Alligator mississippiensis: one gene and its partners. The main gene of each other region encodes a partner of the protein of the gene in region 4 in a complex. Links are inferred from orthologs where the notes say so. Each region holds a gene or a part of one and is shown on either strand. Other genes may lie near its edges. The genes, in order: TAF13, TAF4, TAF8 and TAF11.

Region 1 (7,887 bases), on a different chromosome or scaffold from region 4:
TGACACCCGAGCCAGAGTTATACAGGTAGGAGAGCAGGCTTAAACTAGAGACTGATTTGGGGAAGCAGAGCATAGCAAGCATCAGGCAGTGAGAAACAAGTATGCAGTACATATAGTGCAGGTATCTAAAAAACAAACAAACTGCTGAGCTAGACAACTTCACTCAAAAACACTTGGACAATGACAGCAGGACATTCTTCTTTTACAAGAGCAACAGAATCCACATCCCATAGAGCAGTGCCTCTCAACATTTTTTATACTCAAGGCACCCCTCATCCAGCTCAAGGCACAGCCTTAGAACAGAACAGGGATTCTCAACCAGGGTGCCTGGGCACTCTCAGATACTGCTAGATCCTTTGAAAAGTGCCCTAAGGTGCGAGGGGATAAGCAACATATGAAGAGACAAGCAGATAAGCACAGGCTCAGACTTGTCCCTGCCTGGCCCCCTGCAAGGGGGGAGGGAGGGAGGGAGGGCAGGGTAAGAACTGTAATATATAAATTAGTTTTTGAAATGGGTGCCATTCAAATTCACACAAGTGATGAAGGGGTAGCTTGAGTCCAAAAAGGTTGAGAACCACCGGATTTGAAACCTGTCCCCCACCTCTAAGTTTTGACTACAGAAAATAGCAAAGCTGGTCTGCTGCTGCAAACAACTCAGAAAGCCAACAGGGTAGCACGTCACAAAGTCACAGACTATAGTCAGAGAGAAGTGGGGCTGGAAGAGACCTCTAGAGGTCATCTAGTCTAACCCCCTGCCTGAGGCAGGATCAAACCCATCCAAACCATAATCTAATATCTATGTAAGACTACCATCAACTAGGACACAATACAGACCTAACATCCTAACCCAGGGGGTTTCAACCTTTTTAAATAAGTGTACCCCTGGCAGGTGGACATGGAACTGGGGGGGGGGGGGGGGGAGGGTGCGCGTGCATGGCCAGATGCAGAGTGACAGCAGTGTGGCCTGGTGGGTGGCAGCGATGGCTGCTGTGCGTAATCTTCCCCACCCCCCCGCCCCATGTACAACTGGTGCCTGTGCAGCCCACAGAGGGGCATTTCTGCCCTTACCCCACCCTGGCCCTGTTCCTGGGAAGTGGTGGCACTCCATCCCTGCTCGCTTGTGCATACCCCCTAGGGCCTTCCCAAGTACCCCCGGTTGACAACGCCTGTCCTAACCTACCACAGGTAAAGCAGAGGAACCATGGCAGACAAGGTCCTGCTTCTATGCAATGCTGTCAATATATGCTCAAGGGATCCCAGGAAGAGAGCCATGCCTACTGCTACAGGGGGAAGGCAAAAACGTGGGTCTCCAGGTTTATTTTATGAACCACAGGTACGTGCTGTCACACCTAAGTGCTAATATTGTGCAGCAACCCTTAAGGGAGCTTTGCGGCACCCTGGCTGAAAATCAGCATCATAGGAGGCGTACACTTTTATTTCTTTAAAAGGTATCGTTTAAAACTAACATGGACTGCAATGCACACGTCTCTTTTCTCTCTTGGAAGCACAGTCACTATGCTGGACTGTGAACTGCTGGGAACTTGTCTGTAGTAAGGCTCTTGAAATCACAGAAAAATCATAGACAATTAGGGTTGGGAGGGACCTCAGGAGGTCACAGGTTGCATCTCACCAACCCAAGGGGCCTAATGCAATAGTATCATAGAAGATGAGGGTTGGAAGGGACCTCAGGAGGTCATCTAGTCCAACACCCTGCTCAAGGCAGGACCACCCCCAACTAGATTATCTCAGCCAAGGCTTTGTCTAGGCAAGTCTTAAAAACCTCCAAGGATACAGATTCCACCACTTCTCTAAGTAACCCATTCCAGTATTTTACTACCTTTCTAGTATGAAAATTCTACCTAATACACAACGTAAACCTCCCTTGCTGCAACTTGAGACCACTGCTCCTTGTTCTGTCATCTGCCACCACTGAGAAGTCCAGCTGAGAGTCCAGCTTCATCCTCTTTGGAACCAACCTTCAGGTAGTTGAAGGCTACTATTAAATCCCCTTTCAGTCTTCTCTTCTGCAGGCTAAATAAGCCCAGTTCCTTTACCCTCTGTTCAGAAGTCATGTCCCCCAGTCCCCTCACCATTTTGTTGCCCTCCACTGGACTCACTCCAATTTGTCCACATCCTTTCTGTAGTAGGGTCCCAAAACAGGAGACAGTACTCCAGAGGTGGCCTCACCAGTGCTGAATAGAGGGGAATAATCACTTCCCATACCCTGCTGGCAGCACACCTACCAATGCGGCACAGTATGCTGTTAGCCTTGGCAGCAAGAACACACTGCTGGCTCATATTCAGCTTATTGTCCACTGAAACCCCCAGGTTCTTTTCTGCAGAGCTGCTGCCCAGGCAGTCAGCCCCCAGCCTGTACCGGTGCATGGGATTGTTCTGTCCTAAGTGCAAGACTTTGCACTTGTCCTTGTTGAACCTCATGAGACTCCTTTTGGCAAGCCAGGTTCCCCACTGTTGTGCAAGGCTGCAGCAGGGTGGCCCACGCGCCCAGACGGGGTACCCTCCCCCCCGGGGGGGCAGGCAGGGCCAGCACAGACGCACCATCTCCGTGATGAACTCGATGACCAGGTCCTCCAGGATGTCCACGGCCTCGGTGTAGGGGTTCTGGTCGTCCCCGAAGCCGTACATCATGCAGCGCACTAGGGAACGGAAGGGAGAACGCCACGCACGCGCAGTTACCATCTGCCGGGGCCTCAAGCTTGACAGGGCCAACTGCCCCCCACCCCCGCGCATGCGAACGCCCCAGTACTCACGCTCCTTGGAGAAGAGGCGTTTGCGCTTGCCCTGCCCGCCGTCCAGGCCGCCACCCGCCTCCTCCGCGTCTTCCTCGAACTGCGGATGGTAAAGGGCGGGAGGGGTTACTGCATGCCCAGAGCATTCTCCCCACACTTCCCCGTGGATGTCTCACTCACTCACCGGCGCGTCCTCCTCCTCGTCGGCCATGATGCCCGGCCCGCCTGCTGCGCGCCACTTCCGACCTAGCCTGCAGAGCTTCCGGGTGATGCTATGGGGGCCGCCATGATTTCGTAAGGAACTACAACCGGGGCTCCGCCCCTTTCTTCGTCCCTTCCATGGACGTTTCCGCTTACGCACACCACACTTCCGGTTTATGCTTCCCCGCGCGGCCATTTTGCCGTACGGACGCTGGCTCGAAATCTTCCCACCCCCGTCCTTTGTCCCATCAGTGTGAGGCTTCCGTTGACTCCCATGGAACTTCCGGTTTCTGCTGGCTAGCGCCGCCAATTCGGTGTACGGCTTGTTGGACAGCGGAGCAGTCTCAAGGCTGGGCTGGGCCGGGGCGGCGTGGGTGTCGCCGCACGCACGCACAGACACGTGCTTTTTCATTTTTTTAAATTTAATTTTAAAATTTTTTAAACATAATTTTTAATCTTAATTTTTTTAACTTTTAAAAAGTAATTATTTTAACTAAACTTAAAATATTTTATAATATTTTTTTTAATAAAATATTTAAAAATTAGATTATATATTGGCTGTACTTGTGCTGTGCCTCTTATAAAGAGAGGCCAAATCTCATGAGTTGGGAACTATCAACCCCTGCAGTTTTCCCCACCTACGTAGTGCCTGTTGCTGGCCTACATTGAGGTCCCTTCAGCTTCGCTTGTACTCCACAATGTCAGACTACACTTTTACAGCTCCATGTTAGACAAGAGCCCATGAGAAACTACAAGTGGAAAACAAGGTATTCAGGCTTGACTGGGAAAGAATGTGAAAATCTATTTAAACATGCTAAACCAGCCTTCTGCCTTTCCCTGCTTCCCTCTGCCCAGCCCAAGGAGGGACGAGCAGAGGGGAGAACTCACAACACGCTGCTTGGAAGAGACTGACTCCTTTGGGGATCATTTCTAGGCACTCCAGGCCTGCTGTCCTACGTGAACTTTGGCCCAACAGCATTTTTTCTCCCTCTCAAGCCGGGCTTGTGAGCTGTGCTACTACTTGCCACCTTTTTCATGCAGTTATTTACATCTAGGATTTTTAGGCAGGGGTTATACTAGTTGAGAAACTTGTTACTTCTCTGCAGGGCCTCAGTTCGATCATCTCCTGAGGGGAAGTTCTCGGGGCCTGCCTGCATTCATCTACTGCAGTGATTCTCAAGCAGGGTGCTGTAGCACACGGGTGCCTGGGGATCCTTTTCCGGGTGCCACACAATGTTAGCACTGCCGGGGTGCAGACATGCTGCACAAGATCGACCAGAGATTGCAAACAGGAATCCAGAGCGTCCGAACCATTCTGCCCTGTCGTGGCCTCTGAGTTCCTTGTGGCAGAGACTGCTCTGTTGTTTTGATATTGTCAAAAATGAGTGAAAACTAAGAGCTGGCATGTTCTGAGGGGGAGCCCTTGGTCTAAAGAGGTTGAGAACTGCTGATCTACTGGCAAGAGGTCCACTCTTCCAGTCAGGATTAGGTCTCTAACAGCTGTAAGTATGTTCTGAGTAACATATCACTGCTCTGAATACAAGCTTATTCTTTAAGAAGTTGAAGAGGAAGAGAAAAAAGGTGCAGCCAAGCTATAAGTACCAGAAAAATACAAACCCTTGAGAATGGGGTCAGTGAACATCTCTATGAACCTGTGAATGAACTGCATGGCATTTGGAGAGAGTAAGTCCAATGCTTTGTGGTATCTGTTCAAAATAGTTTTTTCCTGCGATACATCCATTACCTAGAGAAGATCATATTCTGCAGGGGAGTGGCTCGGTGGGGAATTTCTAGTTTGTATTGGGGTTTCTTAACCATATGCCATCAGTCATTTAATATTGCACTTTACACAGTGGCTTCCCTATTATGAACTTCTCCTTTGAGTCTTGCTATGTGGAGCATAAAATCAGACCTGCATAGCAAGAATCTCAATGGAACTGGTTAAAGCTTTCCAGCATATGCACATTCACTCTTTTGGTAGACACCTTAATTTTATATATTTAAAAATAATAAGTATATAAGTATTACATTTCTCTGTTGACAAAAAAAGCAACAATTCACACCAATGCTGTAGTAATTTCAGTGGTAAAAGATCTTCCTCTCAGTTAACATAGTGCCAATCCTTTTTCTCTCTCCCTCTTTCCACTTCATGACCAGTATGTGACAAGCAATGAAGAATAGTCTGTTCTTCCCCAAATTCTGTCTCCCTCTAGTGCGCGACTGACCTGTTTCTCAAGCTTTTTGGAAAGAACAGAGGTCTCTCATAGTTCACAACATTACATACTTGTCTGGTAACGCTGTAGTTTGTTGCTGCTAGTACAGAAAGGCCCACAGTTTTTTCCCCCCCAAAACTGACATTACAGTGGAAGTGAATAAACAAGTAATAAAAATAACTCTCAGATGCGAGCACAGCTGTTAGCCAGTGTTTTGATGTTGGGACCAATAGCCAGATAGTAGTACAAAGAATCCTAGAAAAGAGACAACTTAATGACTAGCACCTTCATAATGCTACATCTCAGACTATAATGTGGATGTAGGCCAGGGGTGGGCAAAATGTGGCCCAGGGGCCAAATGCAGCCCGCCAAGCCATTCTATCCAGCCCGCAGGGCCCCTAAAAAATTTAGAAAATTAGTATTTATCTGCTCTGGGCTGCCTGTCATGTGGCCCTTGATGGCTTGCCAAAATTCAGTAAATGGCTCTCTGCCCAAAATAATTGTGCCCCCCGATGTAGGCAGTCTTGGCTTTGATCTGCTTACTGCCTAATGGGATGCTCCCTAGGACTGACCTAAAAAATGTGTCTGATAGTCGCATACTCCCTGGCGTGCTGGTAGAGGGTCCTGTTAGCAATTAAAAACCTAGGATTCTGGACTAGCCCAGGGATTGACACCTCGTTCGATGAGTGACAGAAAGGCTTTATTTACTACAAGTATTTAAAATCAAGTCAAGTGAGCCCAAACCAAATCAAAGTCCAGTAATTAGCTATAAGGTGATGATTTTTCACCAAATGGGTAACGAAAAGGCAGTCTGTTTCTCTTCAACTTCTCAAGTAAGTTGGGCGCATCAGCAACTGATGTCAGAGAGATTTCTCACTCTTGAAGTGTGCGCTGTTTGCTGCTTTACTGCCTTTTTATACCCTTAGTTTAGCATCTTCAAAGCATTCTTTTAGTTGTGTAAATCAAGAGAGAGTCCCAAGCAGTAATTGACAGGAAAAACCTGCTCATTACTGGTTATCAGAAATTTCTAATTTAAATTAGTTACTTTCTTCAGTAACAAGAGGTTATCCAGTTTGAAACATATCAAGAAATTGATTAACAGCCAGGAAAAATATACTAAATCAGGAGGAGACATCTGTTACATATGGAGAATGTCTCTTCCTGCACATAAACACGAGTTAGTTGCAAAAAAAATATTTACCATACTAATTAATCAAGGATAGACATTTCATATGGTTACACACCAGACAACTAAGAGTCTGCCTGAAATCATTTTGAGTATAGAAAGATAAGCTGGAAGAGATACTTCATTATTCCTTCTTAGATGGCCTAGCCATGAACTCGCATCCTCTTGCAATACGCAGTTAGCGTTATTCTGTATTTTAAGTTTTGTGAGTAGGCCCAAGCTTAGCATGAGTTTCAGAGTCATCAGGTCCCATTCCTCCTCTTCCACTCCTTTGTGACCATCACAGCAGACACTTCTCTACTAGGGCATGAAGCATAAGTCAGCAGTCTCCAAATGCAAGGCCTCTCGTCTTCCAAGGAGACAAAGCTCCATATTAACATAATGGACTTCCAAGCAGGGCAGCAAGCATCCAGGATTTCCTACACCACGTCAGAAGCACCATATTCAGATTATGACTGACAAATCTATTGTGATATCTGATGCTCAAAGGTGAGATCTTTCCTTCACCTTCTAAACACGGAAGAAGTCAGCCTATGTATCTGGTGCATCTACCAGACACATTTCTTGGTGGTGCATCTTCCAGAGTTCAAGAACCAGCAGGGTGGACAGTCACAGTACACTCCTGCAAGATGAATGAGAAATCAAGTACTCCTTCAGGAGTCTGTGGACTGGGGATAGCCAGAGGTTGACCTGTTTTGCTACAGATGTTTGAAGTAGGGCTGGTTCATTAGCTCCAGAAGAAGAATTGGAACCAGGTTCTTGTCCAATGATTTATTATGCTCAGGGAAACTCCTGTATGTCCAATTCCACAGTTGGTCTGCAAGGCGGGTTAGAAGTATTCTGTCTCTTACAAATAGATGTTCTTATAAATGGTCAATTGTTTAAATATTTGAAATATTCAGCATTAAATAAATACTTTCATTTTAGTGGGGACAAAAATCTTTACTAGAACTTCTCAAATTTCAGCCACTGAAACCATCTGTGACATCTACATACTTAATTGATGCCTACACCTGATATAAGTGGTTGGGTCCCGTCAACTCTTGTTGCAATCAAAATTAGGTGGATGGTTCTGAAAGACTGCTTTGTGCTTGCTTTTTTCTTGTCCTCACTAAATCAAGACTTGCATTCCTGTTCAACTTAGAACTAAATGGATTTATCAGAAGGCTTGAATTCCACGTGGTACCCCTGATTTCCTCAATAAAAGAGATCTAGAAAGCAATGACTAATTGGAGGGGAAAAACACACCTACATGATGTTCTTGATCTAGCTAAGAAAGGAGGATGCTATGCTTAAGACTCAAAGAGCTCAGGGTCTTGCTCACCTCCAGCTGTAGCCATATATTCTAGAATGTATGCATTCACATTCAAGACTGCCTTCATATGAAGGAAGGGAAGGAAATATAAACCATTTATAAAATATGTTAATAATATTTTAATGAAGTTAATAATGATTGAAATCTGAAAAATAATCTGTTCTAGGAATAATTTAAACCAAAGATTCCACCTTTCTACCCAGTGATTTAAAATAAAATATT
Region 2 (7,931 bases), on a different chromosome or scaffold from region 4:
AAATAAAAGCCTCAGGCCTTTGCTTACCTGGTGGCAACTGAAAGTTCTGAATATTAGTTGGATTCTGAGGTGGCTGAGGCAGACGAGGTGCTAAAACTGTAGGAGTCAAAGTTGCTCTGATACCACTTGTCGTTGCTGCTGGAGTCCTTGGCAGATTTTGTGCCACTGTATTGGCAGTGCCCTTAGCCATCCCCGTAGGAGTACCAGGAGCTGCTGGAGGTATCCCACCAGGATTGGGGGCCACATTAGAGAGCCCAGCTTGCATAGTTTGCCCAATGATCATGTTACCCCCTGTAGTACTGGGCTGGCCACTAGCAGCCAGTGTCTGCTGTTGGGATACTGCCTGCACTATAGTTTTAGGAGACTCCGATTTGATGACCTGCGTGGTGGGGGCTGCCGGCACACTGGAACCAGGCTGGCTGTTCACAAGCGATGTCTGGAGGGCAACTCCAGATCCCACAGTGGCTGCAGCAACAGCAGGAAAATTCCCCACACTGATGGTTGAATTGATCACAGTATTGCTCCCATTCTGGGTGGCTGCAGCAGCTGCAGCAACCGTGGGTCCTGCTGTATGAATCGGTGGCCTCACCAGTGCTACAGTAGCCCCCCCGCTTCCAATGCTTGGTGGTGGCTGTGAGGAGATCACTGTGGGTGACGAAGAGGCAGAGGACACAGCAGTGCTGAGGAAAGAAGTCTGGATGACAGTGCTGGAAGCTGATGGCAAAACAGCATTAACAGTATTTGCTTTCCCCACCGATCCAGGTCCATTGTTAACTAGAGGGGCAACAGCAGGTGCAGAAGCAGGATTAGCAGTTGCAGGAGTCCCAGAGAAAGCAGCACTTCCGGAGTGGTGAGAGTTCATCACCACATTACTCCCATTCAAAGTTTGCACGGTTGTGGTCCCAATTTTGCCATTCCTGGTGGACAAGGAGGTTGCCATGGTGCTGATAACCACCGATTTGCCCTGACTGAGGGTCCCTGGAGCAGCAGTAACTTCAGATCCTCCTCCTCCTCCTGCAGCTGCTGCTGTAGCTGCTGCAGTGGTGGTGCTGGTGCTGGTCGTTGTGGCTCCATCCAGAGCTGAACTCTGGGACCTGGTGTTATGGTTAATAACACCCCCTTGCACTCCTCCAGCTCCTGCAACAACGAGAAGGAGGTTACAAGAAGAGAATGCGCAGGAGACAACAGAAGCATGGGAAGCATTCTCCCCCCAAGCAGCCTTTTTCCCCCACATGCTGCCTGCAATAAGAAACAGGGGTGAGCATATGCAGAGGAAGAAGAGCTACAAGCCAGTGAATCCCAAGGCCCCCTAGTCTCCCATTAGCAGCGTTATTAATTATAACGCCCACTTGCACCAAGAAGGGAAATCAGACGCCTGATAGGATACAATACAGACCATGACTGGGGAAATGTTTCTTTTCCTTCAACCTATTTCTCTTTCATTCTAGGGACTGACATTATGTCTAATAACTTCAGATCCTGCAACTATAAGGGGGAAAAAAAACTGAAGGCGAGACAGAGAGCCTGGGAAATCCATTAATAAGGTGTATTCCCCATGCCTTGTACACCTGATGTGGGCTACCCTCCTCATCCTATCAGCTGCCAGACTGGCAGCTAGTTGCTGGAGCATCTAGTTCAACTACTGCAAGAAGAGGAGGTGGGGACGAGAGAACCGACAGCCTGACAAGGGGAAAGCTCTTAGGAGAAAGAGCGGACGGGATCTGCTCTTTATGGTTACGGGAACCCGAGAACCAAAACCATAACAATAAAGTAAAATCGTAAAGAAGAGAAGGTAGATGCTGGCACTGAGAAGGACCATTATGATGCAGCTTCTTGCCCCCAGAGCTCTTCATGCCCCTTGGCAAGGCCTGGTATTATGACTAACCCCAGCTTAGATACTTCAGGTCCTGCATTAAAAAGAGAGAGAAATGGGAACGGGGCAGTCACTGACAGATACACTAAGAGGCGCATCGTATGGGGGACCCTCCCCCGCAATCCCCGCTGCTTTGATTTAATAGCAACGACCTCTTAGCAGAAGGAAAAAACACACACACACACACACACAAAAAAGAGGGGGGTGGGGGTGGTGAGGAGGCGACAAGAAGCACAAGACAACATTTTCCCTCCCTCAAAAAAAAAAAAAACAACATCTTACACGCCACCATCCCCCACCAACGGAGACCTCGCGTCGTGACGAACACCGACCCCCCCCTCCACCCCCCAGTCCCAAAGCCGGCGGGAAGGCGAGGAAGGTGGGGTGCACCCCCCCCCATTGCCACCACCACCACCTCCACGCCGGGACCTGACGTTGCAAGAACACCCTCTTGAGGGGAAAGGAGGAATGAGAGGTGTCGAATGCCCCCCTCCAGGCTCCTGCGAGAAGAGGCGGGCGACGGGGGGACACCCAGACAGATGCAGATGGTGCGTGGGGGGGGTGGGGGGGGACACCCTCCTCCTTGAACCCCCCCACCCGGCTTCCTCCCATACAGGAAATAGGTGTCATGATTAATAACCCCCCCTGGCACTCCAGCAGCCGGGGGGAGCGCTGGAGTGCGAGGGGGGCCGGCAGGAGGCTCCCCCCGCTGCCACCCCCGGGGGGGGGCCTGAAAAGTGGGGGGGTCCCCCTGCCAGAGCCCTCAGGGGCAGGGGGGAAGCCCTGTCCCTCCCTACCTGCTTTGGGGACCTCGGGGGCGCTGAGCCCCATCTTGCCTCCGCCCTCGCTGTGGACATGGGCGCCGCCGCCGCCGCCGCCTCCTGCTCCCGCTCCCGCCGGGCTGGGGCTCGGGCTGCTGCCGCCGCTGCCGCTGCCGCTCACAACATGGTTCCCCAGCAGCCCCCCGGCGGCCCGCAGCGGCTCCTGCGCCTTGTGGGGCGGGTGGTGGTGGGCGGAGGCCGCCAGCTGCGACTCCAGGGAGCCCACCAGGTCGCTCACCACCTTCTCGTCCACCTCCGTGTTCAGGAAAACCTCATCCAGCAGATCCGAGCCCGCCGCCATCTTTTTTTTGGAGGGTTCCTGTGCGCTGGGCGCCCTCCCCCCTCCCCTCACACTCCTCCCCTGACCCGCCCCGCCCCTCCCCTCCCCCCGCGCGCGCCGCCCGGCCCCGCCCCCCGCGCCCCCTGCGCAGGCGCGCCCGCCGGGATTCCGCCGCGCGCTCATTGGCCCGCCCGCGCCTATAAAAGGCCGCGCAAATGGCTGCGGGGGTTTAGTCGGGAGCCGGGCGGCGGCGGCCCGGCGGGAGCTGGAGGGGGCGGGAGGGAGGGGGGCGCGGTGGCGGGGAGGGAAGGAGGGAGGGTGGGGGGTGCTCTTTGTCTGGCCGAGCCCAAAATGGCTGCGAGGCTGAAGGGCGCCGCACCTGTGAGGAAAGGAGGGGTGAAGAGAAGCCCGGCGCTGAGAGGAGGGCAGCTCCGGAGTGACTCCGGATCCGCGACAAGGCCGCTTCTGCAACCTAACAATAGGGCCCGGGAGGGAGGGATGCTGGGGTTGCCTCCAATCTCCCTCTAGTTCAAGCGGGAGCTCAATCCAGCCTTTCCATGCACAAATTTTTTTTGGGGGGGGGGGGTGTTGTGAAGTGGCCCACAGGCTGATGCTGTCTTTTGGGAGGAGCGAATGGGTCCTTCCAGGCTGGATGCGGTGCTGGGGGTGGGGGTAGCTAGAAGGAGACCGGAGGCAAGTCGAGAGCAGCTGCTTTTTTTTTTTTTTTTTTTTTTTGCGCTTGTAAGTCTGGATTGAAACCCCTGAAAAAAAAAAAAAATGGCCCACAGAGGAATATTTAAAGAAAGCATCAGCCTTTTGGGAGGAGCAAACGCTGCCAGCGCCTTGTCCAAATGGATGCTTCTAGGCTGCAGAGGCAAAGGGATGTGTTGCAACAGTTTCCCCCCTCCCCAATAATACCTTTTAGCTTATTTAAAGCAGACAGATGGAGCCTGGCCTGCTGGTCGTGGCCCAAAGGTGGTATGGACAAGTCTTGTGTTGGCCTCTGCAACATTGCTTAGCTTGGACTCTGGTTTGCTGAAGTTCAGCACTCAGTGTTTAGGAGTTGGTGGGAGAAGAGATGAGAGAGACAGGAAAAAGAAAAAGTCTTCCCTTAAACATCTACTGGACAGTCTACCACAGAGTCAAGCCACCTATTGACACCGGTGGAAAAGAGGGGAAGGAGGTGGGAGTCAACAGCTTTAGGGAAATGGTCTCTCAGGTCAATACATTACCACTAATATTGGTCTTAGGACTCTAATCATCATTCATCACCGACACTGCTAGCAGCATCTATGGGCAGTCCCTGAAACACACTGGTTACTGCCAATGCTGCCAGCGGCATCTGCAGGTGGTTGCCAACCACTGGTTGGTGCTCCCCACCACCACCCACCCCAGAGGGGGCCACCTGCAGGTGGTCTGTGCCCTCCGCCCCCGAGTCTCCAGGGACACACAGCACTCATGCAAAATATAACCCATGTATTCCTAATATTTTAATATGCATCCTAATATTGCTGCTCGTCTAGTTCCAAACTCTCTTTTCCCCTGTTAATAAAGCTGGAGACAGTTTATTCTTCTCTCCCATGAAGAGTTTTGCACTATGAATGAGAATCGGAGCAATTGGCCTTTCTTGAAATTCTTATCGCCTCAAAACAAGTCATTAAAACTTGAAGCAGTTGCCTCCCTCCTCCCAACATTTAAAACCTTATTAAATCCCCGTGTCTAAATTCCCCTTGTGTAACCAACATGTTCAGCCATTATAACTATCCTTTATCCTTGTTTTCATTCATTACTGTTACAAGCTTTCCTCAGTTATCCTGCTCAGCACCTGGTAGAAAGCAGCAAGGAAAAGGACCTGTTTCTAATTACAGGGTTCTCAACTTGCACTTTTTGTCAATACTAGTTGAACTACACTAGTGCAGCTGCTGTATCCTACACACACATCCCATGAAGCCTTGTTGCCCAGCTCCTGAAATGCAGGACCACCACTTCTACAGCTCATGTCACTTCTCTCCCATGCTGCTGCCTTTATCCTCAGTTAAGTTCTGTCAACTTTAGTGACTCCAAGAGAAGGCTATCTGTCCATGCATAACTGAACAATAACAGGATAGCAATTCACAGGCTGCACCAACTGCCAAAATGACTCCTCAAGGACAAATTCTTCCAGATGAAAGCCAGAACAGTCCTGATTAGCCCTAGGATGACAAAGATGACCAAAAGTCACTTTTTCTGCTCCTTTAGCTGCTTGGGCTGCATTTGGCTACACATGCACCATGGATTAGAATGACAGAGGGGCACAGCAAGAGAGAAGAGCTCATGTGAAGGAAGAACTAAACACAGCAATAGGGACAGAGGGAATGACTAAAGGACAAGAGGGTCACAGCTGGACAAAAAAAGAGCAGAAGAGATTAAGAAGTTCAAAAGGTAGGAGATGGTCATGTTGGGGGAGAATTAGCAGAACTCTTGGACAGAGAGAACCTTCATTGTGAGCCAGACCATACAATGATTAAGATTGCTATGATTCATTTCCAAATGTTTGTAGTATTAATACTTCTTACCGTATCATATGGAACATCTACTATACTAGCTAGCTGCCATACAACATTTCAATAAAAACTAATGAAACTCTGTCTAACATGTACATTAATAAAAAGAGTCATACATATAAACACCCATCTTTCCCCTAGTCAGTAGTCTCAACTGCCATGCCTTTGATGTTAACATTAGTGGGGGGGAGGCTGCACAGAGGGTGAAACATGCTTTTGTAGAGGTGGGCCCCGTCTGGTCCAAGGCTCCCTCATGGCCTTGTCCTGATTTTACTCTCCCTCAGCCCTCTAGCTTGGGGCCCACCATTCAGAGCTGCAAGTTCCTGGGTCAGCTCTGGTCACAACCCACAACCTCAGGTTCCAGCCTCTGCAATCCACTATGTAGGCGCTAGGGGCCTGGCATCCCGTTTTTCCCCTGCCACCTCCTGCCTTATAGTCCAGACAATCTTGGCCTCCTATGGCCACCAAACATACTTTAAACATTCATCTTTACAGTCCAGGCAAGCTTGGCCTCATTCAGCCACAGAACACACTCTAGTCCTTGTCCTCTGTCAACTCAGTGCAAATTCAGGGTCCCCCAGTCCCTCCCCCCCCCCCCACAACCCAGTCCTCGGGGACAGGGTAGGGAAGGAGGGAGAGGAATGAAAACCACAAAATGCAAGCACCAGTCCCAGTTCAAAAGAACGCCCCACACGGAATCGCCCCACCTCTTGGTGGCAGGCTCCAAGTAGAAAAGAAAGCAAAACAGGAAGTCCCAGTGGTACTTAGCTTTCTTTCTATGCAGGCTCCCAGCTTCTCTTCACTCAGCGCTGCCCCCCCCCCCCCCCCCCCAAGTCCTCTCTCCAGAGTCTGGGCTCCAGTCTCCACACCTCCCAGGGAAGGCTCCATCCCGGATGGCTTCCACAGCTGGCCTGAAGCTTGGGCTTATATAGGGCTCCCTGGGTCACATGGCCCCTCTACTTCCCCTCCTGGGATCACTGGCAGGGATCCTGGTTTTCCCTGTTTAAAAATGGCAAATTCTCCGATTAAAATGCACTTGCAAATTCTCCGATTAAAAACCCTAAAATCCATGTTTTCCCATGATTAATAGGAAATGCCGCTATATATAGGTATCAGTAGAACACAATGATTTATTGATATATTTACAGCTTTTAAGCAATTTCGAAGCCTTCCAGTACCTCAGTCACTACAATAAAATAAATTCTAAATGCCTATAAAGTTTGGCATTTGATTTTAGGTTTTTTAACTGTGAAAAAAAAATCAGAGCTTCCCCTACCTCTTTTGCTCACCAGGACATGGGTCCAGCAGTGACCATCCCTCTCCTCCACCCACTGCTTTGTGGTGCTAAAACAGCCCTGATATGCTGGTGATTTGCCCATGCCATTGCCCCTCATGCCCAACCCCCTAGCCCTCTTGGTGCTCCTCACTTCCCACCTACAGCCCCCTGGCCCTGTTGGAGAGGGACCCAACTGCCAGAGCTACAGGGCCATGGACCCGGGTCTGCAACTACCTACCCCCCAGCAATGTCCTCTGCCCACTCAGCAGCAGCAAGAGGCACAACTCCACACCACCACCCCTGCTACCGCCAGGCAGACAGGGGACACATCGCCATGGCAGTGTGGGGCTCGTGGCAGTGGCATCAAGATTCCCCACTGTGCCAGGTCCTGCACACAAATCTGGGGGGCTTGTGCCCCCCCATGCCCCCTTAGGAGTGCCTTCCCCACACCTGCTGCCCCCTAGACAAGCTACCTGCGGCTCCATCCCACTCCCCACCAGGGCCCTGCAGCCACCCACTCCAGCCCCAGGCCCTGAGCCCCACATACCACCTCCACTGAGCAGCAGCCCCAGCCCTTTTTAACTCACCCCCTCTCTATGGCACCCTCAATTCCACTCTCTGCTAGATTTACCTGCAGGAGCTGCTCTCTAGGCTGCATGTGTACATGCACATGGGGCCTGCTGCTCGACCACCTTCCTCCTGCTCCCCCCAGCCCCTTGCAGGCTGGAACCCTGCTAGCCTGCAAGAGGAAACCCACCATTTTCTGCATTTTTCTTCTTTAAAAGGATAAAATCCAGGTTTTTCCTCCTTAAGATAAGAAAATCTGGGTTTTACCACATTTTTCCATGGTGAACAGCAAACCCAGATCATCAGGCTTCCCCTGCCACTGGTCATCAGGGTTCCACTGCCTGTGAGTTTGCCTCTGGGGCACAGGCAGAAGAGACAACAAGGTGAAGTGAAAGGAAGCAAGAAATCACATCCATGCAACCAGAAAACCAGGGGAAAGGGACCTCTACTGGGGAAAGGATGTACTGGCCAACACATAAACAACAAGAGAGAAAAAGGCGAGGTACCCCCAGATACTCTACCCATTCTAGTAATGGGGTAAGGGCCCCATTACAGTTGGATATTAGGAAAA
Region 3 (7,537 bases), about 2.1 Mb from region 4:
AGGAAGAAGCCATGTTTCCTTGTGGTTTGAGATTCAGCTTCTGCTCTTAGAGGTTTTTGGTTAAACCTGACCCATTGCTTAGCTATGAGCAATAGTAGTGTGCTGGGCATTTGTTTTTTTTTGACCCAGACCACCTAAAGCTCTCACTCCAATTTCCACTCAATCGCACTGGGTCAGGGTCATGACAAGAGTTCACCAGCAGAACCCATCCTAAGCTACCAGTTCACAGCCCCCTGCAATCTGTACTCATAAGGATGCAGATTTTCAGACATGCCGAGTTCCCACAACTCCAGGAGGAAGCTGCAGGGGCTCTGAAAAAATCAGACCCCGTGTCTTTGGCAAGACAACAGACATCTCACGTTAGCCAGCTAACGGACAGAAAACCTGTCACGCCTTTGCTCCAGCGCTTCTGGGCAGACGTGCACACCTGCCTTTGGTGGAGAAATTACTGCGTCACTGCTCTGCCCGTCCTGTCACTATTTGCACAAGGGAATTCACACACACACCAAAAACTCTGCAGTGATATCGATCTTTAACAAGCAATCCGATCGTAAGTACCCACTTCACAGTATCTCCAGGTTTTTCAGTATAATTGCATTCAACCTGCCTTTCTCCAGTCAAGTTTTGCTGGTTGCCTAAGCTGACATGAGATCTCTCTCTCGCTCACTCCATTTCAAAGTATGCTTTTACAGTGATAAAGCAACCACATTAGCCTCCTACCTTTCTTGATGATCAACAAATTGACTTCTCCGGATGTTTTTCCTGTGAGCAATCCCAGCTTTCTCCTACTCCACCCCCTTCTTTTTCCGTACGTTGCTACTTGCGCTGCCATTGCTGCCCTAGCCAGAGCCGTGTGGAAGCTGCGTTATGATCTGAAAGTGAGATCAGGACCTTTAATTTCCAGCGTGGCAGCTGTTGTTTACATTCTTTTGTTTTTTTTTTTTTTTCAAAAACACACTTACTGGTCTCTGTGATGCTCTCGCTCTCCCACACATGTACTTAAACAGGAAACAAGGGGTGGGCGCTGCGGGAGGGGGGGGTTTCCTGTTCTATAGCTTCTGAAACACGTAACCGACTTTCTGATGTTTGCCAAAATTGAGATCAAAAGATGTGAACCCCTGAGAGAAGGGAAATTAAACTCCACTAAAAGCACACTGCTTACTAAGAGACAAAATCTGAGATGTTCCCCTCGTTAGATAAGCCCTAACAAGTGAGTTAGACTCTTCACGTGAGATTAAGAGGCATCCTTTGTAGATGCAAACTTTTTTCCTGTTGGGACACAAACTCAGCAGCACCATCTTTTGGCTGAGACAGAGATCCTGACCAGCCACGGCTATCAGAGATCCCGTGATGCTTCTTATTACAGCAAGGACATCATGTCCAAATCCTTACAACAAGGATGTCACGCCCGAATCAACGCTGCCAACGGGAGGTCATGCCCGAACCAACACTACCAACTGTTGAAACTTAGCTGACTTGGGGACGGTTACGTGACAACTGATGATCAGCACATAGTGCCCCTGCACCATATTTTAGGTAGTTCAGAAGACAGTATCTAGTTGAAACAGTGGAGGGGAATGGATGGTCTTATAGGCTAGAAGAAGGCAATTCCTCCGTTTCTGTCTGCACCATGAAGGATCTAAAAGGTATTTGCAGCTTGGATGAACACCAGGCAGTTTGCTGTGGCAGCGATGGTGGTAAAGAGATAAAGTTTTAGTGCGTGGTCACAGTACAACAGAAGAGATGGAATCAGCAGGGCTCAGCAGCAGCATTGGTGCTACCCTGTCCTGTGTAAAATAGACATGGGTGGATCTAGGATTTTGAAGAGGGAGACATCGATTGTGTTGCACACAGATAATACAACGCATCTTTTTTTCCTCCAGCTACAGAGAAACTAGAAGCTTGATTAATATACTAGGGTGCAAGCACAACATTATTCAGTTTAAGATCAAAGCAAAAAATAAATATAACCATTGGAATGTGCAGTGATTTGGTATATTATGTACCAGTTTAAGCACCCCCCCCCCCCAATCAAATTAGGCAAAAATCATCAAAATAGTCAAAGAAGATATTGATATTGTTGCTAGTGCCCTAGACATTATAGTTAAATGTCTCTCTCAGATGTCTCAGTCAGATTCATAAAACAAAATCTAGCTGTCTTGAGCATCTAAACAGCACCTCCAATACTTCACTGTCAGCTCCTTTTTACACCCGAGTTAATAGGACCACACCTGAGTTAAGGTATTTACCTAAACCTGAAAAGAGTCTGCAGGGCTGTGAAATAGGAGGCTGACATGACCAGGAACAGCAAACAGACAGCTCTACTGCGGAAAAAAAGATAGTTTGCATAGTGGACCATCAAGCCCATTAAAAGTGTTGGGGAGGGTCTTTAACACTGTGCAGAGAGATTAGCAGGAATCATAGAAAATGAGTGTTGGAAGGGATCTTAGGAAGTCACATCTAGTCCAACCCCCTGCTCAAAGCAGGACCAGCCCCAACTAGATCATCCCAGCCAAAGCTTTGCCTAGCCAAGTCTTGAAAGCCTCCAAGGATGGGAGTCCACCACCTCTCTGGGTAACCGGTTCCAAGGCTTTACTACTCTCCTGGTGAGAAATTTTTTCCTAATATCTAAACTTCCCCTTGCTGCAACTTGAGCCCATTCCTCCTTGTTCTGTCATCTGCCACCACTGAGATCAGTCCAGCTCCAGCCTCTTTGCAACCCCTCTGAAGGGAGATGAAGGCTGCTATTAAATCCTCTCAGTCTTCTGTAGACTAAAGAAACCCAGTTCCCTCAGCCTCTCCTCATAAACCATGTCCTCTGTAACAGGGGGCTTCCTCAGGGCCAGTCTACCAATGGCCCGCCCACCTGTTTCTGGGTCAACCAGCCGCCTCTTCGCCTGCCATGCCTTGATGATATACAATTGATATTAATTAGGTGGGAGGCTGACCATTTCTTGCCCTACACTGCAGCCCAAGCCTCGCAGATGGTATCCACAGTTGTTAACATCACCAGCCCTTCACTGGGCCCCAGAATCCTCGAATCCAAACTCCAACCGGATCCCTCCAATCAGGCGGCCTATTTCGCCCTCATTCTGGGCTGCCTAGCTCCCTGAACTTTTTCCCCTCTTGGGTGTGGTCCCCCCAGGACCTTTGGCCACACAGGCCCCGGCCTCACCTCCAAGACCAGTCAGAAACCTCAGGACCTCAGCACCAGGCAACCCTCGCGGTGGGCCCCTGGCCTCTTTTTACCGTTCTAGTCCTGGCCCCAGCACCGACCAGTCGAGGGTATTCCAAGTCAGTCTTCTGAGTCTATAGCCCACTCTCTAACCTGGGTCAGTCTTCTTGGCCCTACCATGGGGTAACCCACTTGGGTGTGGGAGCTGGGGTTATTAAGGTGCCCCAACCTGCCTTTCACCGGGGTGGTAACTGGGCTGGCATTTTCTGGGGGCTCCTGCACCACTGAGAGCCCCACCAGGCCACCCACTCCCAGCAGGGTGCAGCTTTAGGTCATGGCCAAGACCAGGAGCCTTCAAACCATCCCCTCAAGCTCCTGCCCTTCCCTCCAGGCTGCAACCTTGTAGCCAGGCAATGCTTCTGCCAAGCCTACCAACAGCAAACTGCTGTTTATATAGGTGGCCAGAGATCTAAAATGGCCACTGCAATCAAGCACCTGCTGGCTGCTTGGCTCAGCCCTTAAAGTGGCAGGCACCCACAGTGCACTGCCACATCCCTCAGCCCCCTCACCATTTTCATTGCCCTCCCCTGGACTCTCTCCAGTTTGCCCACATCCTTTCTGTAGTGGGGGCCCAATCAGGGAAACAGATGAGAAGAATTCATGAAGTTAGGGAGTGCAGCCTGATCAGACGGCTGGTGTTAAACTTTGGGTGCAGCAGGGCTCAAAGCAGGGTGCCACAGCACCGTGGCACCCCATGGACCCGCCCCTGGAACCGGATGGCTCTTAACGGGGTGCCTGAACCAGCCTTGTCCCTGCAGCTGAGCACTCGGGTCCACGCGGCGCTTTGCCCCCTGCTGCGACTGGCCGAGGGGCGCCGTCAGCTGTGTTTTGGTCCCACCGATGCCCCTGGATGAGGGTCCAGAGTCCAAGGGCACCAGTCCTGGGTGCATGTGGGGATGCCCAAGGGGAGCAGCCTCCATGAGAAGGGCTGCAGGCTCCTGGCTCAGGCTCCAGGCACACTTAGGCAGCTCCTGCACCCCCTAGGTGCCCTGCTCTCAGAGCCCAGGGCCGGAACTACAACTCCCAAGTTGCTCCGCGCGGCCGCGCATGCGCACAGCTGCGCTGGAGCCCAAGATGGCGGACACAGCGTCCGGCGGCTCGAGCACGGTAACTGCGGGGACGCGGCCCCCCACCAGCGGCTGAGCCCTGGGCCCAGACGGGCGGGGAACCGGCTCATCCTTCCCGGGGGATGGAGGCCGCCCGGTGCGGAGGCCTCGAGGCCTACTGCTAAGAACGGAAGGCTCTGATTGGCTGACGGGTGCGGGTGGGCGGGATTGAGACGGGGCTGTGGATTGGTCAAAGGTGCTTTGATCCGATTGGCCGCCGCTCCTGCCAATCAGAGGGGTGGGCTGCGGGTCACGTGGCTTGGTTTTAAAGGCACAGTGCATGGTGCTGGTTCCTCAGCAGAGCCTCCCTGGCAGAGGGCACGTGGGGCAGAGCAGGGCGGGGTGTCGCATGGATGGAGTCAGGGGCAGGAGGGCCCAGCAGGTAAAGCCAAGGCAGGGGCAGGATGCTTGGGTTCCCTTCCTGCTGGGGGTGCCTCAGTTTCCCTTCTGCCCCCTGGGGAAGCTGCACGCCCCCAGCTCTGGGGAAAGGTGATGTGGCCACCTGCAGCTCCCTGCTGCTGCCAGGGGCTGTGGAGGCACCGCCACCGCGGCGCCAGGACCTCCGACGCGCCAGCAGGAAGCCAAGCTGGACCCCAGGAGCCTCTGATCCAGGGAGGTCGGCAGTCTGCGGAGGGGAGACGAAAAGGACCCGTTGTGCGTCTTAAATCAGAGCTGGGGGGCTCAGCTTCCTCGTCCCTGGCTGTAACCGCTGCACCGTGCTGCCTCCGCCACGTTCCCTTTGCAGGCTGCCGCACCTGGGGGTGTCCCAGCCGCAGGTCTAGGGCTCGCTCAGTGCCCTGGGGCGGATGGTACGGAAGAATCGGCGTGATCTCCGACTTCCCCAAGCTTGTGTCCACGCTGCTCTTCTGTTAGATTGGAACAGAAGGGGGGATCCGAGACCAAGCCGGCATTATTTTGGCAATGCTTGGGTGCTTTGGGAAGCCTCCCGCCCTGCCATGGTTGTCTGGCACCTAGTGCAGTTGTTTTTCATTTCTAAGGACTCTCAAGGGGCTTCTCTGCATTAACACGCTCCTTTGGGGCGGGGACTCTGTTTCCACAGAGGTCGTGTGGCAAATACGCCACAACCCCCGCGGACAACTATTACCTGGCTCGGAGGAGGACCCTCCAGGTGGTGGTTAGCTCCTTGCTGACGGAAGCCGGGTTTGAGAGCGCTGAGAAGGCGGCGGTGGAAACGCTGACGGAAATGTTACAGAGCTGTAAGTGTTTAGTGGCACGGATGAAACTAGTTGTCAATACGGAGGTGAAATTTAGAGGGACCGGTGGAGTTTTGGAGAGCCGGAAAAAAGGGACCTTGTAATACCTGGTATCTCGCTGGAAAAACAAACGGGTGGCTCAGATGTGGTGACATTAATGTACCTAAGAGATCGCTGCTGAAGCTTTTCATTGGGTTGTCTTAATTACTTAGACAACAGTTTCTTCTAGGCATCCAGCTTGGATGCTTTTGTTTTTTATGCACTTGTAGTCGTTGGTGTCAGTGGAGGAACTGGCAAGAAGCATGGTCCAGTGGCTACAGCACTAGCCTGGTGTTGAGAAGATCTATACCCCAGTCCTTGCTTCACCATAAGCGTCCTCTGTGATCTTGAGCAAGTTGTTGATCAGAGCCCCTCTCCCAGTGACTTTGATGGCAGTTCATAAAAAAATCAATGGGAGTCAAGCAGCTAAATCTGTGACATCTGGTTTCATCTGTAAAATAGAGATAATTATCCTGCAGTACTGTACAGAGATGCTGTGAGCGTAAATATACAATAGAGTTTCAGGTGTTCAGATATTTCAGTAATGAAGACTGCACGTGTGGCTTTCTGACTTTTATGTGCCTGCCTCCTAGATCCACACATTGTTCTGTGTTGGCATCTTAGTGGAAGCTGCCAGGTTATTACATTATAGATCTGTCTGCAAGGCCATTGCTGGTCAGAGTGCATTTTTAACCAGAGACCTAAAAAAAGGAAGCAGTAAGATTTGTGTGTCCTTTCTGAAGTACTTGGAAGGGATCTCTGCAGATCATCTCCAGACTACATATCTGAAGCCAGAATTAGGCTGCTGTATACTGGTAAATGATTGTTTCATGTATCAGTTTTCTGGGCCATGTCTTTTCCCAGATGTTTCAGAAATTGGAAGGAGCGCCAAGTCCTACTGCGAACACACAGCAAGGACTCAGCCGACCCTCTCGGATATTGTTGTTACCTTGGTCGAGATGGGTGAGTGACACGCATACAGTGGTTCTCATGGAGCTGAAGTTGAGGAGATGGGGAGAGAGTGTTTCTTCTGTCCTCAGCCTTCGTGGAATTAGAACGTGGCTTGTTGGACCTCAGTTGCCCTGCCGAGCTGCAGCATTGCCTTCCCTGTAGTTGATGGGGGGTGTGAAAAATGCCTCAATCCCTGGATCAGGAGCACTGCAGCATAGAGCCGGATGGCTGGGAGTTGGGGAGGGAGCAGTGGAGAGAGTGCTTTTTCATCACTGGCAGACCCTTAGCATGAAGTTGAGATCTCAAATAGAAAATGCACCTTCTAGGCCCATGCTGTCAGGGCAGGCACCCTTCGTGCTTTCTTTACCCATGAGTCATTTTATCGAGCATGATGTGATTTCACTGTATCCTTCTGCCTTTCAGGGTTCAACGTGGACACTCTTCCTGCATATGCCAAGCGCTCCCAGAGGATGGTCATCACTGCACGTACGTGGGGGTATCCTTCCAGCAAGGAAGAAACCAACGGGTGCAGTCCCAAACCACCTTAGATAAGTAGATCAAAGCAATGAAAGTAGATGGAAATTGTAATGAGAGGGGCCATCTGAGGTTAGAGTCAGTTGAAAAAATGAGATATGAAATAAAGGTCTGATTTACTGAGTAATCAATAAAACGTTCCCAGGGATTTTTTTTAAATAAACGATTTTAACAAATAAAATCCTCTCTTCCAATGCTTGCCCAGCATATTGCAGAGGTCAGGAACTGGGCAGGAACCAGAAGGCAAAATGAACCAAAATTAACAGCAAACACAACTGTAAAACTGATTCATGTTTTTAAGGACTCCAACAAGGGAACTCAAGTATGCACAAGTAATTCAGTGATTGTAAAGCTGTTGATGTTCTTTCAGTCTTGAGGACCTTCAGATCTTGGCTTTAGGAAACTTCCAAAACCTGTGCTTGAATGCTCACGTATTCCGTGCTCTGCCAGCCCCTCCG
Region 4 (8,017 bases):
CCTTCAAGTAGATGGCATGACAAAAGGTCCCTTAAAAGCAAACTCGTTTAAAGTGAATGGGTAAGTGCTTAGTTTGCTCTGCCTACAAGATATTCCACTTTTACTCACCTTCTTCTACCACCTCCCCAACAAAGACTTTGGAAATCCCAGACATGGCAATAACCACATTCTGAGAGACTGAGGTGCCAGTAATCGACTGGATCAGCTTAAGAAAAGAGAAGATGCAATTAACCAAGAGAAGTTTCACTATAACTATAGATTCTAACCAAAAAATATTAAGTTTGAGCAACAACTACTGAAGTCAATGGGAGTAGAGGATGGGAACCAACTTAAAAAGCAAGTAACAAGGTAGGTGGGTTGGCAGTTCTTCTGCCATTCAAATCTCATCTATTTAGACTGACCAGACTTGTAGTGACATTCAATCTACTGCTTTCATACAGGCCATAGCAGAAGTGCTCATGGCACATCCCTGTCAGATTCCAACAAAGCATTTAGCAGAACTCACAGATTTCTCAGGACATGAAAAGGAAAAGGAATGTATTTTGCTCTGTATTTCTACATGTGCAATAAGTGGGATCCCTCACTCTGCAGCCTGAATATCAGCAGAGCCTTACCCGTTTAATAGCAGCCTTGGGAAAAGCAGAACGACGATACATCTCATAGCGATTCAGCTGCTCTTCAGAAAAGGAAGACACCAGTATTCTGAAGAAGAAAGGAAATTAGCCCTTATGGCAGAACGATTTTAAAAAATTTCTTTAGCCTCAAAAAAATATCAAACATATCCCTAACATCAGTTAACTAATCCTAAAGCATCTGCTGCTTCAAAGGCATATACCACTTTAGCTAACATTATGAAGCAGAGACACTAAACAGATGCAACTTTCTACTGTGTTACAAAGGGCATGTGGGGTGGGGAAGTGACCTAGTTGCTGCTTAGGATCATGCATCGGTTGTTCTGATTTTACTACTATCTAGCTCACTTGACCTGGGTAGGAGAGCACAAAGTCACTGAAGCTGCATTCAGGTTTAGTTTAGTGATGTAGTTCCCCTTACAGTGCCACAGGAGTGGATGCACATCATTTAAATCATAAAGATATGATAGTGGTATAAGGTGTTCTGTTACATTCATAAGCTAGGGCAACTGTTCCAAGACTAGGGGTTGGTTGCACCCCCACATACAGTCATAAGCCCTACAAAACCTTTACATTCCCTTAGCCTACAATTCACAGAGACAGGACTTTTACTGTGGCTGCTCCCTGCTAAGCTTATCCCTCTGCCTGCATTAACCCTGTGAGTGGGAACTAAATCACAGCAGTTTAGCTCCTCTACCTACAGGCAAACAAATAGTTACTGCCCTTCTGGTACATCTCTATTCTTGTTTATTAAAGGCACGTGGTATGTGCCTGGACTTGTGTGCATGGATTTACCACACTGCAGCTGCTCCACAGCAACTCTCCTTGTGCTCTCATTACTCCATGGTGAGATCTAAACTAGGGCAGCTTACCCTTGAATGCAACAGGGCAAAACTGCCCTGGTTTAGTTTTCACTTACCCCAGTATAATTGCAGATGCACAAGCTGTTCTCCTACTTGCTATTAACAGGGGATAGAAACTTATCAGGCGCTGGCTGCTCTGCAATAACTATGCACATAGCTTCAGTTAACCCCCCAGTAAGAGAAGCTAGGGCAACTTAGACATTTAAGGGAACACTATCCCAATCTCTCTTTCATTGTGGCACAAGAGACTTGGTGAAGAGCAGAAGCATACAAAGGCCCCATGACTATTACCTTCGGGACAAAACTAGCACTACCTGCACACATGGGGTCTCAGGATAGGGCCCTGCTCCACATTCAAATGAAAGCTGGATAAAAACCAGCTCGGAGTCATTACACATTTGCAAGCTGGTTGGCTCTTTTTATAGCTGGATGGACACTTTTGTGGGGCAAACGTGACTTTGCACGTGTGGCCGGTCTACATCTACTGCCAGCAAAACATGCGATCGTGACTTGGTGCATGTGGCCAGCCCACATTTATTGCACGACTCACCCGTGCACTCTGTCACAGACGTAAGGTGTAGCAGGGGCCACGGTTCTCTCCAGAAGGAGGCTGGGTGCAGCGGAGCTAGAAAGGGGCCCCAATTAGGCTCAGTTTTGCATGCAGATGGACACCACGTTCCTTCAGGAGCACATTCCCACATGCAGGGGTGTGCATTTGCCCCAGCACAAGCAGCAGTGGCATATATTTGCGCTGCTGCTTTGTGCCCCAGGGCGCGCCCCTGCACGCGCACTCCAGCCCACGGCAAACTGGGTCCTGGGGCAGCAGCGGCACCCATCCAGCTGCGCGGAGCACAGCTCCGTTTCCAACGGCGCACGCTGCTGTTACACGCGCCGCGCCGCTTTTTGTGGCAGCTTTTTTTTTCTCCTGGATACCAGGACACGCTGGTATCAAATCTGCAGCGCCGCAAACTGCACGTGCGCGCTCGTGTGGACGCGCCCCAGGGGGGCAAAGGGAGCCCCAGGCCCAGGGAAGCACCCACCCCCACCCCCAGGGCCTCCGGCACGAGTCCCCCCGCACCACACGTACTGCATCTTCTGGATCTCGTCCTCGTCCACCTTCTGCTTCTTGTCCTTCTTCTCCTTCATCTCCAGCTTCATCTTCTTGGCGGCCGCCTGCAGCGACGGGTCCTCCGCGTCGGCCGGGGCCAGCTCGGGGCCCTCTTGGCCCTGCGCCGCCTGCAAGACAGCGGCGCCTGCTCGCTCGGGTCCCCGGAGCCACCCCCGCCCCCACCCCCTGGGCCTCGCCCAGCCTCACCTCCCCGGCCTGCGCGGCCACCTTGGGCTCGGCCCCCGCGCCGGGCTCCGCCGCCTCCCCCTCGGCGGTCTCGGCCGCAACCTGCGGCTCCTCGGCGGTCTCGGCCGCAGCCGCCGGGCCGGAGGGCGGCGAGGCGGGCGGCGGGCTGTCGCGGGCCGAGACCGGCTCCTCGCAGCCCGCCTCGACGGGCTCCGCCATGGCTTCCGGGCGGGGGGGTGGCGCGCGCTGATGGCGTCATCAGCCGGCGACCGCGCCAGCGCCCTAGCACCACTCTGCTGGGGGTGGGGCTTCTCTCCATGGCAACGCAGCTGCCTGCGCCAGGGGCCGCTGTGGTCGGGGGGAGGGCACTGGGGTAGGGTATCTGCACTGGGGCAGAGGGGTGTGCACTGGGGTGGGGGGGCACTGGGGCAGGGGCCCTGGGGCAATGCCATGAGTGCAAATCTGAACGAACTGGGAGGTAGCTGAGGCCGGGGGTTGTTGGTCGAGGCGTTCCCTACCGCAGCAGAACAGGATGAGCTGGTTTGCCTTTCTCAGCTCCTCTCTGTGGCAGACACTGGGAGCCCAACAAGCGTGATGTGAATGGTGTGAGAATATGGCAAAAGGTTTGTCAGCGCTGTTGCAGGAAGAGGGATGGAGACTGTTGACAACAATCCTCAGCCAGTCCATTTCCTCGTGTAGACGGGGCTTCGGTGCGAGCTGCGAGGCACCTTCTCCCAAAAGACTGCCCTAGAGAGAGGGCATCACAAAGTATGTCAATAAGTATACAGTGCACACTTTCTTCGTTCACCTGGATATAGTTTTGCTGAGACAGATACAAGCAAGGAAGTTCCTGTGAGCAGTGAAGGTGGTCCTTTCTTAGGCAACCATAAGTCTTGTAGAAGTGATACCTAAAAGCAGTGGTGATGGCTGCACTAGGACGTGTAAGAAAGATTAGTTTAGATTGAATGTAATCCTTATATTTCTGTAGCATGCTGTGATCCTGCCTGTTATCCACGAGCTGCTCTTTTTGACTGTAGATGTATCCTTATGTTTAACAAATACAAATCACTAGGGAAAAATTAATTCCAACTTTTTTGTGATATATGGTGGTACTTTCAGAGATTCACTTAGCTAATGAGGCTAATGTCCAGTTTAAATCAAACTTCTAGTCTTATCTTCTTTATGATTGCTACCAATAAAAGATCTCATTTGCATTTCATTATAATAGCAGCACACTAGCTGGTTGAGTGTCTAGTTCAGTCAGAAGCTTTTCCTGTGTGAGTCTCATTATGCTGACAGATGTCAGGTATCTTTTTACCAAGTTGAAATCAGGGCTTCCTTCTTTCTTGTGAGTGTTAACCCTTTCCTGCCTTACAAAAGGCAGTCCCTCAGCTATGTTACAATTATTTTTGTGCATTAATCCTTAAGGTAAACACAGCCTATTCAGGGCTTTTTAAAAATATGTTTAGGGAAGGATGGCTTCGTGGCTACAGTCCAGGACTGGAAGTCAGAAGATCTGTTTTTTGTTCTCCATGAGACCTTGGGCAATATGTTTAGCCTGTCTGTCTCAGTAGCCCCATCTGTGAAATAAGAGTAATGATGTCTACCTCATAAGGAGACTGTGAGAAGTAATTAATTTATTTAAGAGCCCCAGATGGAATGAATTATGGTACCAACATTAATGGTTTTGATTATTCTTAGTAATACCAGTGTAGGAAATATATTTTGTGTTTTGAACGTGTAAGGATTACAGATCAAGCATGTAAAGAGCTATCAATTAAATGTAGGGATGGCCCGTTACTAAATGAGGACTGAAAGCCTGTGATTCATGACAGAGAAAACTACCTGAGCATTAAAATAACCCCATACTAGGGACTGGGAAAGTCCGAGAGTAGGTGACAATATGGAAATACTGAAATGGTATTAGCAGATCTAGATCTGCTACTAGCTCTCTGTAGAGACCACGCAATACAAAGTAAAAAGAGCCTGTGCATGCCTTGGGGATTGGCCAGTGAGGCTGATCTCACTTAAAAATGAACAAACAAAAAACCAGTGTGGTTTTAACGCTGGTAAAAGGTGTGAGACTGACAGGGAAGCCCCCCTTTTATCCACAGATCCGGTACAGTTTGAGCAGCATCAGTTCTAATTTCTTCTGCCTTAGTTTACGGTCGTGTCTCAGACCTGAACTGGAGGGACTTGGTCTAACTGGTTTTGGACAGAGTCCAGACTCCTCGCTTCTTCACTTGCCAACTTCCCTGCTGATTCACAGTCAGCACAAGCACCCGCGTTGGCGGTGAGTTTAGATCACGCCAAATCATCTCATGTGGAAGATCTGAGTGGTTTGTTAAGAATGAATGTAGGGGCAGAGGTGTTCACATACCAGCATTTCACCAGCAGAGTGGGGGTTACCTGTGTTTCGGGTGGCGGGTCAGCCGTGTTCTAGCTTCCACGCCACTTCTTGGGGGACAATCAACCAAATCATTACTGCTCCCCATGATTAATGTATGCAAATGTCGTCCTGGTTGTCTTCTGTCAGATTTCATTCACTGATCAGGAGGGCTAGAAACGCATTGGACACTCGCTCTGGAGCTAATGTCTGGGACTAGCACTTGCCCTTAGCACGAGGGCTGGGGTTTGGGAAGCACTTTCTGGGGTGAGATGGCACTGGGCCAGGCAGGGAGAGGGGAACGCCATTTGTCTCTGTGAGACGCGCTCACTGGCACTGGTTTCCGTCTTCACCACTGCACTCTCACCAGACCTGGGATTCAGCGGGGATAACACTGAGATCCCCCTTGCAGCCAACAGCTCTGTGCCCTTGGCCAAAGCGATCACGCTGGGGTTTCAATGCCCTCGCTCCTAGTGTATTTCACTTTTTTTTTAAAAGACATTTTTCATGTTCCAAGCCAGATGAAGTCCAAATCTGTGAGTCGTAAGTGGCCCTACAACTGGCAAACATCCTCCACCCCCACCAGGGGCTTCAGATATTTCCAAAGTCTTTCTGCAGGCATCCTACATGCAGGCCCAAGCCTTAAGGTTTGGATGCCCCCGAGTTGTGCCATATGGCGCAGGAGCAAGCAAGGGAGGAGCCTCCCATTTCCATAAAGCAGGCTTTAAGCCCCAACACCTCGGCGGGTACTAAACCGCTCCAGAAGAACAGTCATCCCTGGGAGGGCTTAAGGAAAACGGCCTTCATGGACCCAGATACACAGAGTTTCCCCTCCTGGTGTATTTCACACTTCAAGTTGCCCCTGTGCCCGGGCGGGCAGGGCTGGGCCGCACCTCTAGAAGATGCCCGTTGCCCTTCTTCTCCCTCTGCCCTCTCTGCAGCTTCACCCTGGCTGGGGGCAAGCGGGTCCCCTACCCCTACCACTACCCCTACCCCAAGAGCAGGGAGGCTGTCACCCTCACCCCGCCCACTCGGGGGCGGGGCCACCCCTTTCCCTCCTCCTCATGGGGGTGGAGCCAATCTCGCCCCCGCCCACCCAATGCTTCGCGCCGCTCCCCGCGGCGTGGGGGCGTGGCCAGGCGAGGCCCCGCCCCGGTGGAAGCGCGGCTTAACCCTCCCCGCGCGAGGGCGTGGCCTCCGCCGGTCTGGCTGGAGGGGGCGGGGCGCGCGGGGCCCCGCCCCGGAAGGACGCGCGGGGCGGGAGGCGGCGGCCGGCGGGGCCGGGCCGGGCCGGACCATGGGGAAGGAGCAGGAGCTGCTGGAGGCGGCGCGCACCGGCAACCTGCCCGCCGTGGAGAAGCTGCTGTCGGGCAAGCGCCTCAGCTCCGGCTTCGGCTCCGGTGGCGGCTCCGCGGGAGGCGGCGGCGGCTCCGGGGGCGGCGGCGGCGGCGGGCACCCGCTCTCCAGCCTCCTCAGGTGGGCGCTCCCCTCCCGCCCACGGCCGTTGGGGCCCCCGGTGCGCGCCCCCCCCCCCCCCCGCCCCGACCTCCCCGCGTGGTGACCGCCCCTCCCCCGTTAACGTGTTTCTGACCGGGGAGGTCCGGCATCCGGGGTCCCCTCCGCCGGGTTCGCCTCGCGCTCTCTTCCCCACGCCTTGCTCCCCCAGGGTCTTTAGCCCGATGTCCCCTGCCGTGGGGAGGACTCGGACCCAGCGGGGTCCCGCTTTCGGGTCTGGGGGGGCTGCCGGGAGAGCCCCGTTCGCGCGCAGGGCGGCACCAGCGCCGCACATCGTCGTAGGTGGCAAGGGGCCGGCAGGGACCTGGGGAGATGGTCGGGTGCAGGCCCCCCCGCAACAAGCAGGGAAGACAAGACACCTGCGGGGCTCCGGACGCTGCCTGGTTGAGACCCGTCGCGTTGCCACCCACGGCCATCGAACCAGAAGGGACCGGCGGGATCGTCAAGTCCGTGGGCAGGAGGCGACGGGGCTCGGACGAGCTCAACGTGGTGCTTGTCCAGCCTCCTCTCGAACACCTGCAAGGGGGGCGATGGCACCGCCTCTGCTCTGCACCAGACGCTGGTGACCCTTATGGGCAGGACCGTCCCGGTGGGGGGGTAAATCAGGGCGACCACTTTGGGGGACCCCGCAGAGCCAAGCCTAGCGGCTGCGGCCCCTCCTGCAGGACCTGCCCAGCGCTGGTGACTCTGTGCCACCACCGCCGGCTTCAGGTCCGGCCGCTCGCCACCGCCCCGCTCCCTGCCACCACCTCTGCCGGCTTCTTGACACCCGGGCCCCGCACGGACGGATTTGCCCCGGGCCCCGTCACCCTGCCAGGATCATCTCCGGTTGCAAGGAAAAGGTTTTTTTCTTGTGTCCAGCGTGAATTTGCCCTTTTTTAGCTTATCCCAAGTCCTGAACCCCCCCACCTTCCAAAAAAGAGTTTGTAGCCATTTTTAAACATCTTTCTGACCATTTGCTGGGTCTTTGGTTGTAGTCGTTGTTGGTATAAGGCTCTTTGGGTAGATGTGATATCTTTTATTAAGCTTTCAGGCACAGTCGCCTTTCGTCAGGCATTAGGAGTCTCTGCTGGTCTGAGACATACTTTACAACCATTTAGCAGTTCAGCATGACAAGTCTCACTGACCTTGTTGGAAGAACTCGTGTACATCATGTTACACATGGGCTTTTCAGTAGTGGGGACAGTGTTTTTCGACGGATTTGGTAGGCAATGCACCCAGGGTGCTGGAGTTCCCCTGGTTAATAATTACCACATTAGACTTTTTCCCACCAACTTGCCCATGTCCTGAAACCGGACATGCACATGGCTGGGATCATCTGACCCCA

Evidence for each region.
Region 1: TAF11 (region 4) and TAF13 share a complex: the UniProt entries of both Homo sapiens proteins name them as parts of the TFIID basal transcription factor complex. The link is inferred for Alligator mississippiensis from reciprocal best matches to the Homo sapiens genes TAF11 and TAF13.
Region 2: TAF11 (region 4) and TAF4 share a complex: the UniProt entries of both Homo sapiens proteins name them as parts of the TFIID basal transcription factor complex. The link is inferred for Alligator mississippiensis from reciprocal best matches to the Homo sapiens genes TAF11 and TAF4.
Region 3: TAF11 (region 4) and TAF8 share a complex: the UniProt entries of both Homo sapiens proteins name them as parts of the TFIID basal transcription factor complex. The link is inferred for Alligator mississippiensis from reciprocal best matches to the Homo sapiens genes TAF11 and TAF8.

Annotation. Positions count from the first base shown.
Region 1 is NC_081824.1:247,510,351-247,518,237, reverse strand, and holds the start of TAF13 (transcription initiation factor TFIID subunit 13), read right to left. Parts: upstream 3,025-7,887; 5' UTR 2,962-3,024; coding exon 2,935-2,961; intron 2,851-2,934; coding exon 2,772-2,850; intron 2,658-2,771; coding exon 2,560-2,657; intron 1-2,559. Other genes in the region: GTPBP8 (GTP-binding protein 8), read right to left, coding at 6,960-6,972. UniProt on the Homo sapiens protein: The TFIID basal transcription factor complex plays a major role in the initiation of RNA polymerase II (Pol II)-dependent transcription.
Region 2 is NC_081832.1:5,994,219-6,002,149, reverse strand, and holds the start of TAF4 (transcription initiation factor TFIID subunit 4), read right to left. Parts: upstream 3,035-7,931; 5' UTR 2,996-3,034; coding exon 2,671-2,995; intron 1,138-2,670; coding exon 28-1,137; intron 1-27. UniProt on the Homo sapiens protein: The TFIID basal transcription factor complex plays a major role in the initiation of RNA polymerase II (Pol II)-dependent transcription.
Region 3 is NC_081837.1:39,073,724-39,081,260, forward strand, and holds the start of TAF8 (transcription initiation factor TFIID subunit 8), read left to right. Parts: upstream 1-4,535; 5' UTR 4,536-4,621; coding exon 4,622-4,723; intron 4,724-5,401; coding exon 5,402-5,558; intron 5,559-6,458; coding exon 6,459-6,557; intron 6,558-6,968; coding exon 6,969-7,031; intron 7,032-7,537. UniProt on the Homo sapiens protein: The TFIID basal transcription factor complex plays a major role in the initiation of RNA polymerase II (Pol II)-dependent transcription.
Region 4 is NC_081837.1:36,973,766-36,981,782, reverse strand, and holds the start of TAF11 (transcription initiation factor TFIID subunit 11), read right to left. Parts: upstream 3,035-8,017; 5' UTR 3,009-3,034; coding exon 2,811-3,008; intron 2,732-2,810; coding exon 2,583-2,731; intron 2,121-2,582; coding exon 2,046-2,120; intron 703-2,045; coding exon 615-702; intron 206-614; coding exon 109-205; intron 1-108. Other genes in the region: ANKS1A (ankyrin repeat and SAM domain-containing protein 1A), read left to right, coding at 6,473-6,651. UniProt on the Homo sapiens protein: The TFIID basal transcription factor complex plays a major role in the initiation of RNA polymerase II (Pol II)-dependent transcription.